Linked DNA regions of Drosophila melanogaster. The protein of the gene in region 1 interacts with the protein of each later gene in a pairwise test. Each region holds a gene or a part of one and is shown on either strand. Other genes may lie near its edges.

The links. Proteins that work in one complex are often made in the same cells at the same time.
Region 2: the proteins of CG10164 (region 1) and CG6805 interact in a two-hybrid assay, tested with the Drosophila melanogaster proteins (one large-scale study listed by BioGRID).

What each region holds. Positions count from the first base shown.
Region 1 is NT_033777.3:23,552,173-23,560,885, reverse strand, and holds CG10164 (uncharacterized protein), read left to right. Parts: upstream 1-3,942; 5' UTR 3,943-4,653; intron 4,654-4,873; 5' UTR 4,874-4,878; coding exon 4,879-6,039; 3' UTR 6,040-6,563; downstream 6,564-8,713.
Region 2 is NT_033778.4:17,003,502-17,009,995, forward strand, and holds CG6805 (uncharacterized protein), read left to right. Parts: upstream 1-1,949; 5' UTR 1,950-2,259; coding exon 2,260-3,006; intron 3,007-3,287; coding exon 3,288-3,614; 3' UTR 3,615-3,631; coding exon of another isoform or gene 3,632-3,661; 3' UTR 3,662-4,000; downstream 4,001-6,494. Other genes in the region: AsnRS-m (Asparaginyl-tRNA synthetase, mitochondrial), read left to right, coding at 1-37; NiPp1 (nuclear inhibitor of protein phosphatase 1), read right to left, coding at 168-289, 350-920, 982-1,196, 1,252-1,466, 1,529-1,557; Ehbp1 (Eps15 homology domain containing protein-binding protein 1), read right to left, coding at 4,954-5,035, 5,096-5,284, 5,345-5,441, 6,000-6,494.

The DNA of each region.
Region 1 (8,713 bases):
GGCGAGGGTAGTCACTTAACTATTTATGGAATTATTGAAATGTCGATTACCTTTCTCTGGCCAATCGATACCACAATCGAAAGGGTATAAGGAAAATATATTAAACCGAGAAAAGGTTAAAATACATAAAGTAATGGCTAGTGGGTGGACTGGGCACACAGATTGATAAATATAGCCGAATGCATAATTTAATTGACTTTTATGGGTGCTCCGGCAGCAGCCCCACAATTTACACCATTGTTTGTTTTTGCATATAATTTCAATTGAATTTTAATTGAAATTATGACGACTCCTAGCTCCACTGAGCCAGACTCAACTGGGCGGCACTGAGCCATTGTTTTCCTAACCGTAGTGCTTTGTTTACGCGCCCCGGCAATAATTTTGCCAATGGGCTGTGGCTCGTGGGTTGTAATACGGTGGGTGGTTGGGTGGTCCGCCCACAATGGCAACCATTTAGCATATTAGAATATGCATTGTTTGCGCCCAACTACGGCACACGCAATGTGCGACCACCCAGGAGGCTCTGTTCACGGGGGACGAGGATCGAATTCTGTTTAGGGCTCGCCAGGATGTTTCCTAATAGCCGTCACTTAAATTGGCCAGGGAATTAAATTTCCTCGTTCCCTAACCAAGTGGTTTCCAATAGCACCTATACTATTTTCATTGTATCCTTGTAGTTTGATTAAGATGAAGAAATTCTACAAGATACAGTCATGGTCAAAATTATTTTCACAAAGTGCATTTTTGTGCATGGGTCACAAACAGTTGCTTGTGCAGCAAGTGGGGGGAGGTGAAATGCAAAAAAACTTTTGCTTTTGCAAATTCAAACCTATGCAGAGTCAGATGAAAGAAGAATGGAAAAAATAACTGTTCCTATGCGCAAGGAAGAGGCAAATGAAGAGATCTTTATCAGTTGTCAGAAGTATTTGCACACGGTTTCGTCGCATCACAATTATTTTCACAACGCAATTTCTTCTTCAGTGATTGGTTTAGAGTGACAAGTGCCGGTTTGTTTGCTTAAATACATTTAAATTATTGAATAAAAATTAGATTTAATCATTTTCCTATTACAGTTATTAAATAAAATGCCCAAAACAAAAGAGTTAACAGTTGAGGCCCGGGCTGGTATTGTTGCTAGGTTTAAAGCCGGTACACCTGCGGCCAAAATAGCTGAAATATATCAAATTTCGCGTAGAACTGTCTACTACTTAATAAAAAAGTTTGATACAGTTGGCACATTAAAAAATAAAAAAAGATCAGGCCGAAAACCTGTGCTGGACCAAAGGCAATGCAGGCAAATACTTGGAGTTGTGGCGAAGAATCCTAGTGCCAGTCCGGTAAAAATTGCCTTAGAATCAAAAAATACAATTGGCAAACAAGTTAGTAGTTCTACAATTCGTCGCAGGCTAAAAGAAGCTGATTTTAAGACATACGTTGTTCGCAAAACGATTGAGATCACACCAACCAACAAAACAAAACGTCTTCGATTTGCGTTGGAATATGTTAAGAAGCCTCTTGACTTTTGGTTTAATATTTTATGGACTGATGAGTCTGCATTTCAGTACCAGGGGTCATACAGCAAGCATTTTATGCATTTGAAAAATAATCAAAAGCATTTGGCAGCCCAGCCAACCAATAGATTTGGTGGGGGCACAGTCATGTTTTGGGGATGTCTTTCCTATTATGGATTCGGAGACTTGGTACCGATAGAAGGAACTTTAAATCAGAACGGATACCTTCTTATCTTAAACAACCATGCTTTTACGTCTGGAAATAGACTTTTTCCAACTACTGAATGGATTCTTCAGCAGGACAATGCTCCATGCCATAAGGGTAGGATACCAACAAAATTTTTAAACGACCTTAATCTGGCGGTTCTTCCGTGGCCCCCCCAAAGCCCAGACCTTAATATCATTGAAAACGTTTGGGCTTTTATTAAAAACCAACGAACTATTGATAAAAATAGAAAACGAGAGGGAGCCATCATTGAAATAGCGGAGATTTGGTCCAAATTGACATTAGAATTTGCACAAACTTTGGTAAGGTCAATACCAAAAAGACTTCAAGCAGTTATTGATGCCAAAGGTGGTGTTACAAAATATTAGTATTGTATTTATATAAAATAAAGAAATTCTTATGTTGAAATTAGATGTTAAGCTGAAATTTACTAAATTAAGTTGAGTGAAAATACTTTTGAAGCGCAATAAACATGTGAAAATACTATTGACAACTTGCATGCATATTTTCTTTTGCTTTAAGCTTTGTACTATGAACCGTTATCTTTCGTATTTCTTTTCGACTACCTTCTGCATAGATCAAGCTAAGCGATAAGAACTATTTCAGGCAAATCGGACAACAACAAGAAGAAATATAACAAAAAGAAGTTGAAGTTTGCAAATATTGTGCGTTGTGAAAATACTTTTGACCACCTCTGTATGTTTTCCCAGAGCCAACGAACTGAACTTGGTAAGTGTTTATTAAAGGACTTTGCCACAAAAGGACTAATCATTGGATAATCAAAAAATGATTGAACAAGTGTTAAAAATATTTTATAGGTAATCATTTTTCTCATGTTACTGAAAGTTGCAAGACTAGCGAACATATTTCAGTAATTTAAAGTGCCACACATCCATTGTTCAACATTTGTTTTTATTAGAGTTTTCCGAACTCAGCTGCCGGTGTAGTTTTACTTTTTCCTGTCCCTTCTGCCTCGTAAGTAAGGAAAACAAATAAATAAATTTCAGTTCTGGCCAGGGCACTCACTCTCACACACACACATAGCCACATGTGGAAATGTGTGTGTGAGGTTGCCTTTCATAAATTTGATATGTATGCGAATTCCTTTCGGTTGTGTGGTTGGGGTTTTGTTTTTTGTCAAGCGAAACCCATTTCCTGGGACTCACATGCTGCCACCAGGTTTCATCTACATTTGCAATTATTTTATGCTCCGCATTTGCCATTTCGTCTTTAATTAGATTTCCTGCCCAACCCCTAGCACAAATTTGCACTTGCCTTTGATGGGGCTTTCATTAGCCCGGCCTTGCGTGCCGTTTGTCTTGCTGGACGATAATTCCACTTTGGCGAACAAGGGCTGGCCAAAAAACACTTTAAGCCCTCTTCGGCTGGCTCACATGCATTTGCTATTGGGCTCTCGGTGTCATGCTGCGACATGCACTACTCGCCACGAAAACATGCAATTTGCAATGGCCATTTGCGCGACCATCAGTCAGTGGGACGCTAGAAACTTTAATTGCCCGCACACGTTTTAGCAAGCTAAGAAAGCTCGATGGAAAACACTGAGTAAAACTCGACAAAATCGCACTCGCCGCAAATGTGTTTTCGCGCCTTAGTTTTGGCCAAACTCTGACACACGAACGTGGACCTCAGACACCGAATGCCACTCGATATAATAGCCTTTCACCACGACGACGACCGCCAAGCACGTCCTTTCGCCAGCTCGTAACGAATTCAACTGAATCGCCACGGCCAGGAACAGCTCGATTTGTTTATGAATCGTCGTGTGCGCTTCGAGCCGAGTCCTCGGAACTTATTGTTCTGGGCGGCAGAGAGAGCTTTTTAGTCCTGTGAGTGGGGCTGCGAATATCGTAAAGTTAAGAGAAAGGGCATTTCTAGTGCTCTGCCCTTCACGCTCAGTTAAGAATTAAATTCTTGGTATGATACTTACTGCTTTACTTTCAAATTTTTGCTTTGCTTTAATTTGCTTTGTTTTAAAAAAGCATTTACTCTCACAATTTTTAGGGAAATCGTAGTTTTGAGTTCAGAGTTGATTATTAAAAATATAAATTCTTTATACAATTTAAGAAAGAAATTGCATATATTTATTCGTTTTCTGCTGTAATGAGTGAGAAAGTATTAGATGGAGAACAACATTTTCGTTTTCTTATTTTTACAATATAATTTAAAGCATTGCCGTAATTGTCAGGCGCAGTGACTTTCGAAGAACCATTTTGAATATCAAAATTTGGGAACACCAGCTCCCGGAATACAGGATTGTCCATTCCTATAGCTCCACATAGATGATCTAAATTGAACAGAGTACGCCTTTCCCCAAGTAGCAGGGGCCCTATCCGTATTCCTGGTCCCATTCTAGACACAAACAAAAACATTCACAGCAGTCGAACAGACAGCCCAAAGACACTCCCACACCAGCTGTGTGTATGCGGTTTAGTTGGCCAACCGCAAAATTCTTGGCAAACAAAATAAAGAAAACTAACTTGGGCCGAAGCAGAGCAGATCCAAGCGGCAACGGAAATTGTTAACCTTTGGGGATATCAAACATTTACGATTGCGTGGCAGCGGCAGCAACATTTAAGTTTTTATCAGCACAAAATAAAGTTTTGGTTTACGGATTGTGTTCCTGTCCGCCAACGCTCCTCCTACTATCCACCACTTTTTGGCCAGAGGCAGCTACAAGTGCCCAGGAGCCAAGACAGGAGCAAAATTCAGGAGCAGAAGCTGGATCAGGGGCTGAAGGTTCGTCCCTGTTGATTCTGGGGCACGCAAAACTTTTATCCTTTTCAATTTCGTTTTTCTTCGCCGAGTACTTTTGAGGGATTTAAATTTCTGTTTGCAGCCGAGCCAACAGCGAAACAACAACCGTGGGAGTGGCAGCATCGAGTTCGTGGCGACCAGGTGAGTGTTTCTTGTTGGCCTAATCACGGCTTTGCCGACTTGGCCACAATCAAGCACAATGCGATTGGCGCTGCTAATTTGACTTGAATGATACATAAAAAGGTGTACGAAAAAAAATTAGGAGGCTTATGTGAAAATGTGATGGTAGAAAATAAGTATATTTTTGATTAAATATTTTTAACAAATAGTATTTTTTAGTCTAAAAATAATTATTTTTCAGCCGTCATGAAGAAGAAGAGTCGTAGAGATCGGACACCAAAAGTAGAACAACCTGAACCATCGAGAGTTGTCAACACGGAGCCTATTCGACTGAACGTGGAACCCCAATCCCAAGAGATAGATGACCAGGCTGCACCATTTATTTTGGTAGACTGTGCGAAATATGAGGATCGTTCAGATTTGGAAGCAATGCTTAGTTCCATAGAAAAGGAACGGATGAAAAAGGTTCAGGCAGATATAGAGCAGCAATATTTTCCCCTCCTGGAGGATGAAGAACCACCTCCAGAATTAGATATGCCTATAAACCTAAGCTCTCAAGCATTGGCTGTACTGAATGATGCAGATAATGAGCGCCGCTTTAAAGAGGATCTGGAGAGCCTTAGTATTGCTGGACTGGAAGAGAAAGATACATCCATTAGCATTACCAACATGAAAATAGAAGACAGCAAACTATTGTTTCGGACTATGCCAGGTATGAATCAGATTTGCTGCACGCTAGAGCAGATGAAAAATGTTCATGGGAAAATTGGACCAGCAGAACCAACTCCACAGGCACGTTGCACCAGCTTGATTCCACTTTCAGGCCTTCGCCGGCAAGACACCTTCGAAATTAAACGTAAAAAGAACCAAAAGATTAGATATCCCGAGGTTTCCACCAAATCAGCAATTAGCGAAAGGAAACATCTACCATTAATTGCCAAGGGAGGAAAATGTGAGAAAGTTATCTCAGAGACTGATAAGATTTTCAGCCAGATTGGCGATCTTCTCGTGAAACTGCAGCTCCAACACGAGGGCAGCAAAGTCCTGAACAAGGGATCCTCTTATTCCTACATGGTGAACATTAAGCCAGCTGGAGGTGCATCCAATTGTTCAGTTTATGCGCTTACAAAACTCAAATCGCACGAAGTAGAGGAGACGCATGCCGAAAATCTAAGAACTTCTCACGCTCCATTGATCAACATTTTATACCCTGGTCGTGGTGGACTTATGGAGACTTCTGAGTTGTCCACGACCGCACGATGTATCGATGGAAGCTCCATTGGGTCGATGTCCCTTCGCGAAACGCCGTCCTCCAAGATCAAACCATCATTTTTACGCAAAAGGCCCAGTTCCCATCTAAGGGCACCTAACCCTGTCAAATTTTGCCACGGCAGGAAGAAAAATTAGGCCGCTTGGTAACCATTCCGCAAATTATTTGTTCGAAAGCCATTTATTTTCTATCGACATTGGAATCTCCAAATAATGCTTACAAATTCATATGTTGGTCATTCAAAAGGATCTTGAATGGATATTTTATGCAAAAATATATCAGTTGCCAGAGTCTAATGAACGGTAATAATTCAACAAATGCATACAATGCGGCCATAATATAAAATATTAAGTGATACAAAACAAATATATATTTTTATAAGCCATTAATTAAAAAATAACCTACATTTTGGTTATTAATGGTCTCTTGGATTTATTTCCACTAGGGTCAATTAATAAAATTGCAAGTCTGAAACCCAGTTTAAAAGATCAATATGCTGTTTTCGATTGAATTGAATTGTACAGCGCAAACAATATTTGTTTTTTCTTTATTCATCGCAAATAAACAAGTGGTTTCAAGTGGTTTATTTATTTGCCATTTTAAATTCATCACAAAATGCACAATAATTATATAGATGTTATCGGCATTCACATTTTCAATTACCCTCGTATTTTAATTTATTGTGTTGTAATTAAAGCGATTTAATCATATTCAATCGCCAGAGTCCTCCAATCAAAACTCGTGCACCTTTCTGGAGTGCTTCCCTGCATAAAAGTTGCATCTTGTCCACTTCCTGGAGGAGTTGTCTAATTGCATGGCCACGCACTTTCATTGCTCATTTCCGAGTTGCCCTCAAGTGCGTGGTTGCAGCTCATTTTGTTCGGTTTGCACAATTGTGGCCAAAGTGTTTTCAACTTTCTTCTGTCAATGCGCCCGGAGGTCGAATCCGAAGTCCGTGCCTCACCCGAAAATCCCCTCTTTCGGTTTGGGTTTGGTGAAATGTCGGCCAAGTGCTGGGCTTGGCTTGTGCCAGTTGGCAGACGTCCTGCTGCAGGACCTTAAAAACCTGCCTGCCTCCTGTCATTTGTCGTTGGCCAGAAATTGCAAGATTGACTACTGGGCTGCAGAGGGTGAACAAGTGGGTGGGCACAAAAGTTTTCATTAGTTTTAATTAAATCCCAAACAGCATTTCCATGCTGCACTCTTTCGCTCGCTCGTTCTCTGAGGCGTGTGCTCTTTCGAGCCTTTGTCAATGAGTTTTCCCAACAAAACCGAATTAAAAACACATCAAAATTAATGACACTCCGCCCCGGGATGGCCAGGAGCCGGGAGCTGGTCAAAAGGAAGTTGCCATTGCCTCCACTGCCACTCGAAGTGCGGACAGCATTTGTGCAATTTATTTAGCCGGCTTTTTGCGGCGCTTCTGGATGCGCGCATGTTGCTAAATAAATTTCATGATTTACTGCAGCCATACGGGAAACGCGGACAAGAAGACAAAAAAAAAAAATGCCAGTTGCCAGTGGCCACAATGTTTATATAGTTGTCGAGTGGGCGTGGCGCATCGACGGGTGCGAGAGGCGGGGACGTATGCCATGAGCCGAGGCTACATGAAATTTGCAATTAGATTTGGCGAAAAAGGCAGCCGCAACATCCGCCCGGCGTCCCAGTTCCACTTGCAACCAGCAACCAACTTCGTTGTCGGTTCGGTCCGGACGAAATATTTAATGCGGAAAGTTTAATCGCAATAGCAACGGCAGCTGCAGCGTCGCATTTCCGGCATTTGTTGGTTTTTAGACTGCATTTCCCGCATTCAGATGGCAGTTGCAACGCAGGACATGGACATCGCAGCGACTCATGGTTGACATCATTAAATTTGATGTCCGGCATTTACTGGTCACCGCCTCTTGTCTTCGGGGGCATCCAGGATGCCGGGTCATCGGGATGACAGAATGCGGACGCACTTTCACTGCGGCCAGCCTTTGAGTGGCCAAGAAATTAAATAAATTTTTGATTAGTCCGGAGCCACATGTATATGTATTCCACACTGCTTTTTAGTGCAGAGATTTCCCTGGGATTTAGGTGCGCTCAGCGAGTGGTGGCTTAATTTTCTGGTGACCGCTTTGAAAGTGGGCTGATTAGCTTGGTAACTGAAGTTGCACTGGGTTAGTCGGAGCTAATGGAAACAGAATGGTGTCATTATTAAAGTAGAAGATTTTTCATTTTTGTAGAGAAAAGGAAGCCTGTAACAGTCAAAATTTCATCAAGTTTGCAATTAAGAAAGTGCAGCATCGACACTCAAATTTCGGTGAAGTGATAATCGGAACATGTTTTTCGCTGTCCTCAGCATCTCTAATTAGCTTTCAGCTAATTTGCAAAAAACCCCCGAGCGTGGGAAATGAAAGCCAAATAAATGTTGCACACAATTAGAATGCACAACAATAATTACATAATAAATTCGCCAACGCAACTGGAATGGCAACTGCAACTGCAGCTGTCTCAGCGGCATTCAGTGTCTTCCGGCGGCAGCTGCCACGAAATGTAAATGAAAATAAGTGGCAGGACGCCTTCTTCGTCCTGTATACTTCGCTCTTGTTGGCGACCGCGTTTACAAATGCCTTCGACTAGTTGAGCACTTGATCAGCGGAGAAGTTGGCTGAGGGAGCGGGAGCATGAGCTTCCTTCATCCATTTTACTCCGCATGTGGGCGACGGCGAGATTAATAAAATTTATTATCATTGCGATAGTGGCAAAACAAACTGAACGCCCCACACATCCCCCAAGTATTTATGTGCTAAAACCAGCTGGGAGAAC
Region 2 (6,494 bases), on another chromosome or scaffold:
ACCCTTCCCCAGGTATCCACACAGCTGCAAGATGTGATCAGATAAAGATATTAAATGTTTTGTTTTACGTTAAAAGTCTAATAAACAAATATTACTCCAGAGTGTGTTGTCAATCATATGCTTGAGAAAATCGTAGGTGGAATCTTAATTATTTTGTTAATACGCAATTACAGCTGCCCCAACATGGGCTTGCGACCTGGCCATGCTTCCTTGGCGTATTTCTTTTTCTGTGGGCACAGCGAATCGCCTTCGCCACTCGAGTCATGCGGATCCTCACCAAAGCGACGAACTAAAATGGTGTTATAAACAATCAGTAAGTTTTTAAACAAATAGTCGCGAGAACTATTACCGTTTGCATTAGCGACGGCCAACTTTTGAGCCAATGTCGAGGTCTCCACAGCTTCGTCATAGACTGGCAGCACTTCAGGCGCAGGATTCGGGAGCAATAGGCCCAACTTGGAACCAATGCTCAGCGGGGAGATGGGCTCTAGGTCACCCTTGCCATGCATTTCGGCCGGTAGACCTTGATATAGGGAATTAGTAGGCGAGTGGAGCACCGCATTGGGCGGAGGCATTTCCCTATGCTGCTGCTTCATGTCAACTAGGCTCTGCTGGAACATTTGGTGTACATGTGCGGCATTGGCACTGGACAAACTGCTGTTGCCCGAATGGATGCCCATATGATTGACGTCGCAGCGAGCCCTCTTGGCGGGCACCACAGTGGTTTGTACCAAGTTCCTGAAGCGTCCCACATTAGGATCCACATCCTCAGGATTGATGACAATCTCCTCATCGTTAAATGTGACATTTCGAGTGCGCCGTCCCTGTTTCAAGGCGTTTTGCTTTCGCATATTGGTATCATCATCGATGCCCAGCATTGAGATGCGCCGATTGTGGGCTGTGTTGTATTCTGTGAGATTCTGCAGGATAATGGAAGGTTAGTTTACATAGTATTTAGCTTTTCTTTTCAACCAAACGCACATCAAGCTCCGTTTGGCTTTCGGGTAGGCCCAGGAGAGCTCCATCGCTGGTTTCACTGAGCGGCAGGTCTTCCATGATGTTGCTGTGGTGGCCAGAGGGTCGTTCCCTGAGTATGTAGTTCCGGGTAGAAGCCCCAAAGTGGAAGGTGCTATTAATCTGCAGCTGTGTGGGCTTGTGCGCTTCCAATCTGAGTGTTCCAATAAAGGTGCCATGAGCTGTCAAAAGTAAATGGATAAGCTTACTCCGAATCCCAGATATCTTAGTACCTACTGGACCCCAGATCCACGAGGTAGGCTATGTTGAGGTGCTTGTGGTAGACAAACGCCGAGTGGACCCGCGAACAAGAGGCATGGTCTATGCAGAAGTCGTTCATTTGACTGTTGCGACCAAATAGATAGCATCTTTTTTCATCCACCATCAGTTTTTGTACTAGTTTGTCGTCCTTTAGCACATCCAGATGTAAGCCAGTGGGCGGTTTTCCAGCCCTAAAATAAATAAAATGCTACGTGATTTTGTGGCAAGGCAGCGGCTGAATTTGACAACGCACCAACTGGGTATGTCGTAGCTGTTAGCCATACTTTTAACTTAAGTAAAATAGTTCGGAAGGTAAGTTTATACAAAGTGTTTATTTTTATGAAAAATCCTTAGCCAGTGTGTACACACAATTGACTAGTTGCCGATAATATCGGTTTAGCACAAGCAAATGCAAAGGGGCATTCTCGCGTAAAAAAAAAAACAATGAAATAAGAGTATTATTATTTTAAAGGAACTTACGCACAGTACAACTTTTAATCTTATATCTTTATATTTCTTAAATTGATTTTTGGCTTTTATAATATCTAATGTGTTTCAAATAAAAATCTAAATTAGATGAGAAGCTCATGTTAGCCGATGTTTTCGATGAGCTTCAGAGCTCCGTTACTATCGAGATACCATAAAATTTTTGCCGCCGCCTAAGGTATATTTAAATAGTTGTGCTGCGGTCACACTAAGCTCACGCAACGGACGGACAAATAAACATAAATAACGACATCTGAGTATTCTATAAATAATACGGGCAACTAGCGCTTCCTAGTCCAATTAAAGCGGCTTAAAAAATTAGTGCTGAAGAATTAACGGTTACATAAATGAAAGTTGCGTGTGCAAAACGCCTTTCGCTTTATTTGCTGATGCTGCCAAATCCGTAAACCTGTTTTGGATGCCCATGAACTCATCAACAGCCACCTTGTGACGTCCAAAACAACAAGTATTAATCATAGATAATTAGACGGCGGAAAAATGGTTACGGCCACGGCGATTGCGGATCTGTGCATCTTCCTTTTGACCTGGAACGTGGGCACCCATACGCCGCGAAATCAGGATCTGAGCTCCCTTTTGTCCCTTAATGGCACCACCACTTGTCCGGATAACCAGCTGCCCGATATCTATGTAATCGGATTCCAGGAGGTGAGCACCACACCGCAGGTGCTAAAAATCTTCAATGACGATCCGTGGGTGCTGAAGATCGCGGACTCTCTGAGCGATCACCAGTTCGTAAAGGTGGACTCGAAGCAGCTGCAGGGAATTCTTATAACCATGTTCGCACAGCACAAGCACATCCCGCACATGAAAGAAATCGAGACAGAAGCCACGCGCACGGGACTTGGAGGGCTGTGGGGCAACAAGGGTGCCGTAAGCATTCGACTTTCGCTCTACGGAACTGGCGTCGCATTCGTCTGCTCCCATCTGGCGGCGCACGATGAGAAGCTGAAGGAGCGCATCGAAGACTATCACCAAATCGTGGACAATCACAAGTACAATGCGCAGGGATATCGCCGGATATTCGATCACGACTTTGTCTTTTGGTTTGGCGATCTTAACTTCCGTCTCTCCGGCGATATGTCCGCTTGGGATGTCCGCACGGATGTGGAGAACCAGCGATACGCTGATCTGCTCAAGCTCGACCAGTTGAATCTGCTCCGGGAGAAGGGAAACGCCTTCAGCTTGCTGGAGGAGCAGCAGCCCAACTTTGCGCCCACTTTTAAGGTAACAATCTAATATACAATCTTATTATCTCTACAGTCAAAGTTTGCCTTGAACTTTCTAATCTTAATCTAAATAATGTATATAGGGGTGGGTGTAATTAATTTTATCTGCACTTGAATTTTTAATTTCCGCCAATCACTTCATCAATCAATCACTTCATTCGGCTCCACAGATTTCATGAGAAAAGCAAAATCCAACTAATTTATGAGGCAATATGTCGAATGTAATTAATTCGCCTTATCTCTAGCACCCATATAAAGTTCATTTGATTTTCCTTGCAGTTCGTGGAAGGCACTAATGACTACAACTTGAAGCGGCGACCCGCCTGGTGCGATCGGATTTTGCATCGCGTGCAGAGCAACATTTATCCGGGCATTACCCTGAGTGCCAACCAGCTGTCTTATCAGTCCCACATGGACTACACTCTCTCCGACCACAAGCCCGTATCGGCGACATTCAACTACAAGGTCGAGGCTGCCAACCAGACCTACACCGACGAGGAGCTCCACGAAATGACGCACGGATCTGCCTCATCTCCGGCGACGCCAAATGTTAGTCTATCCTTCGCATTTGTTGTTTTTGTAGCTGTGTCCTATACTCAACTTTGATTTCGCTTCTTTTGTAGTTATTTATCGCTGAACTAGAGCAATGGTAGCGCCGTCATGACGTCACTTAGTTGTGAACTTTTAAATCTCTTTGCATGCTTTTAGATTATATGCGTAGACGAGTTGTAGAGTAATTAAAAGACTTCCTTTCAGAAGGAACAAGAGAAACGAAAATAATATCAAGTACAATGTGATGAAATCTCTGCTAATTTAGCAATCATTTAAGCAATTCTCAAGTGATCCATGGAAATAATGCAGCTTCCGAGTATATATACATACATATGTTATCACTCAATTAAGACGATATTAATTTAACGATTGATTGCATTAAACAAATGTATTTTTGTACACTAAACTGTTGATCGAATAAAAAAAACTATTACCTCTCGACGTGACTAATCTTTTTTGTTACTGAGTCAATTAAAATGATACTCTGTTAAGTATTTGTATTGAGAAACCTGTTAATACAAAAAAATAAATAAATCGATATGACGCATTTTTGTTTTGTTATTGGAGTAACTTTCCCAGATAACAACGGATAAGACTTCTTAGAATGGTTTTGGGTTTATTCGATGCTGATGACAGCATTTTCGTTTCTTTTATTAGCTATTAATGTTCCTTGGGTCGAACAGTTCTTTATACAACATTCGCCTGGGCAAAGTAAATTAAAATGTATTTTATATAAGTATATAAGCCACCTTTAAATTATGATTAAAGCGCTTTGCTTAACTTAGAGCAAATGTACGGGTCTAAATAAGGTATGTTAAGATAGGTTTGTTGTATAAGTGTAATTCATAAATATATAAGTGTACGTGTATTTTTGGATGAAGCGTTTCTAGTTATGTGGGATAAATGCTAAAGTAAAACTAACGTAAAATTGCCTCCTCAATTCCCTATCTCACATCGCTATTGCGTTCAGGATTTACATAAGTTAGGAGTGGTTCAGATGGCACAACAACGAAACATGAAACAAAGTTACCACCATTTAATTTAAAGTAATACCAAGATCTGATTATCGTAAATAGGTGTATAAACGTGTGCCTGTCTTTTTACTTAGTTCACTAACGGACGTTTTGTTCTTATTTCTTGAATTGTTTTGCTTAAATACAAAAGCAATTTGTTTTGTTTCACAGTATACCTTTTTTTTTTTAATAACCATACCAAGTGGTCCAAGTATTTGTTGTCGTTGGATATAACGATTGCATAAGAAGCGACACCGAACCACAAAAACCACGCGACCTTATCGCGTGTCTCTGAACATAGTTGTTATCTAACTAGTTACATAGATAAGATTGAGTGTGTGTAAGTATAATCTCCAGTCAGGTTTGGTTAATTTCGATTTCTATTGAAGAACACATTTGTCTTTTTCAGCACTGATGTCCACGTGCTCCAGTTTCCTCGCGATCTCCTGGTCGTCTTCGATCCTAAACGAGTCCGAGGGTTAGCTTCGTATATTTTAATGATGGGAAAAGTGCTTCACTTACGCTATCTCTTGGTTGTGCAAGTGCTGAACCAACTGGTCGCGCTTGTCGACAATCGTCATCAGTTCCTCGAGCAGCAGTCGCTCCTTTTCACGCTGAACTTCCGTTTTGCGCCAATCTTCCACAGATTGCGCCGCCCGCAGCTCTTGATTAAGCATTGTATATTTTCGCTCCAAATCTTTTTCTTGCTCGCTGAAGGGTGTAGATAATAATAAGAAACAAAGCCGATAGTAGTTCTAAGTGATAACTTACAGTATATTTAGCTGCATCTGTCGCCGGAGGAGTGCGTTCTTCTTGTTGACCAGCGTAAACCATTGCGATAGCAGTTGCTCCTCTGTCTCCTCGGTCTCTGTGGAATGTTTAAGTGTCTGATTATAAAAAGGCAATGATGGGGGTTTTCTTTGTGAAGCACTAAGATTATTTAAAGCCTGCCTGTTCTGATTATACTACTGAAATTGATTTTCTACATAAGTCGCAACCATACATAAGTGGCTTAAGTATTTTAAAACAGTTTTTGAAATAGGCAATACCAGAACAGGCGCTTCGTGCTTTGCTTTATTCTAAGAAGGCGTCCTTTGCCTTTTTCAAAAGCTGCTGCAGAGGGAGGACTCTGTGATTAGTGAGCGTTATATCATCGGAGCTGTTAGAACCAAGTCCGAACATAGTTAGACACAAGTTGGAACGGTTGCCCGCCAAGTTAACAAGCAAACACAGACATTAATTGGAACAAACAAACGGCACAAAGAATGAGCGAGTGGATGCGGTTGAAAGAGGCGAGCGAGCGAGCGAGCAGGCGGAAGATCTGGGCGATCGGCAGTCAGGCGGTGAGGCGTGGCAGTGCTCTGGCAGTTAGCAATTAGCAGGGCAGCTCAATGGTACAGGCATGATAGGATGGGCCGCACTTTACCACAATGATTGGGAGTGTGACATAAATGGGAGCGCCGCTCCCGCCTCTGACGGCGTCGCCTATGACGATCCTGCTGCCGCCGCAACGAGGCCGCACGACCGTTGGCCGCCACCGCCAGGACCTCGTCATCATCGCTGCACGCAGGCAGATTATCACAGGAAGACTGCTGCGAGGAGAGCGCCGACGGGGAGCTGTCTAGCATGTGGGTATAGGGCACAACGTGATGTACATGATGCGGGCGCAGATGAGCGGGCGTGTTGATGGTCGATTGATGGTTCTTGTTCACAAAGCACGAATGGGAGCGTGGCCGGGGGCGTAGCCTCGTGTGCAACTCGTCGCCTGAGTTGCAGACACTATCGCTGGACGTGTCCCTATCGTCGTCCTCGCTACACGCCCCGCTCCGACCGCCACCACTACCGGCACCTCCACCAAAAAGGCTCTCGTCATCCGAATCGAGCAGCTTAATACGTATCACATCACCACCACCAATACTAT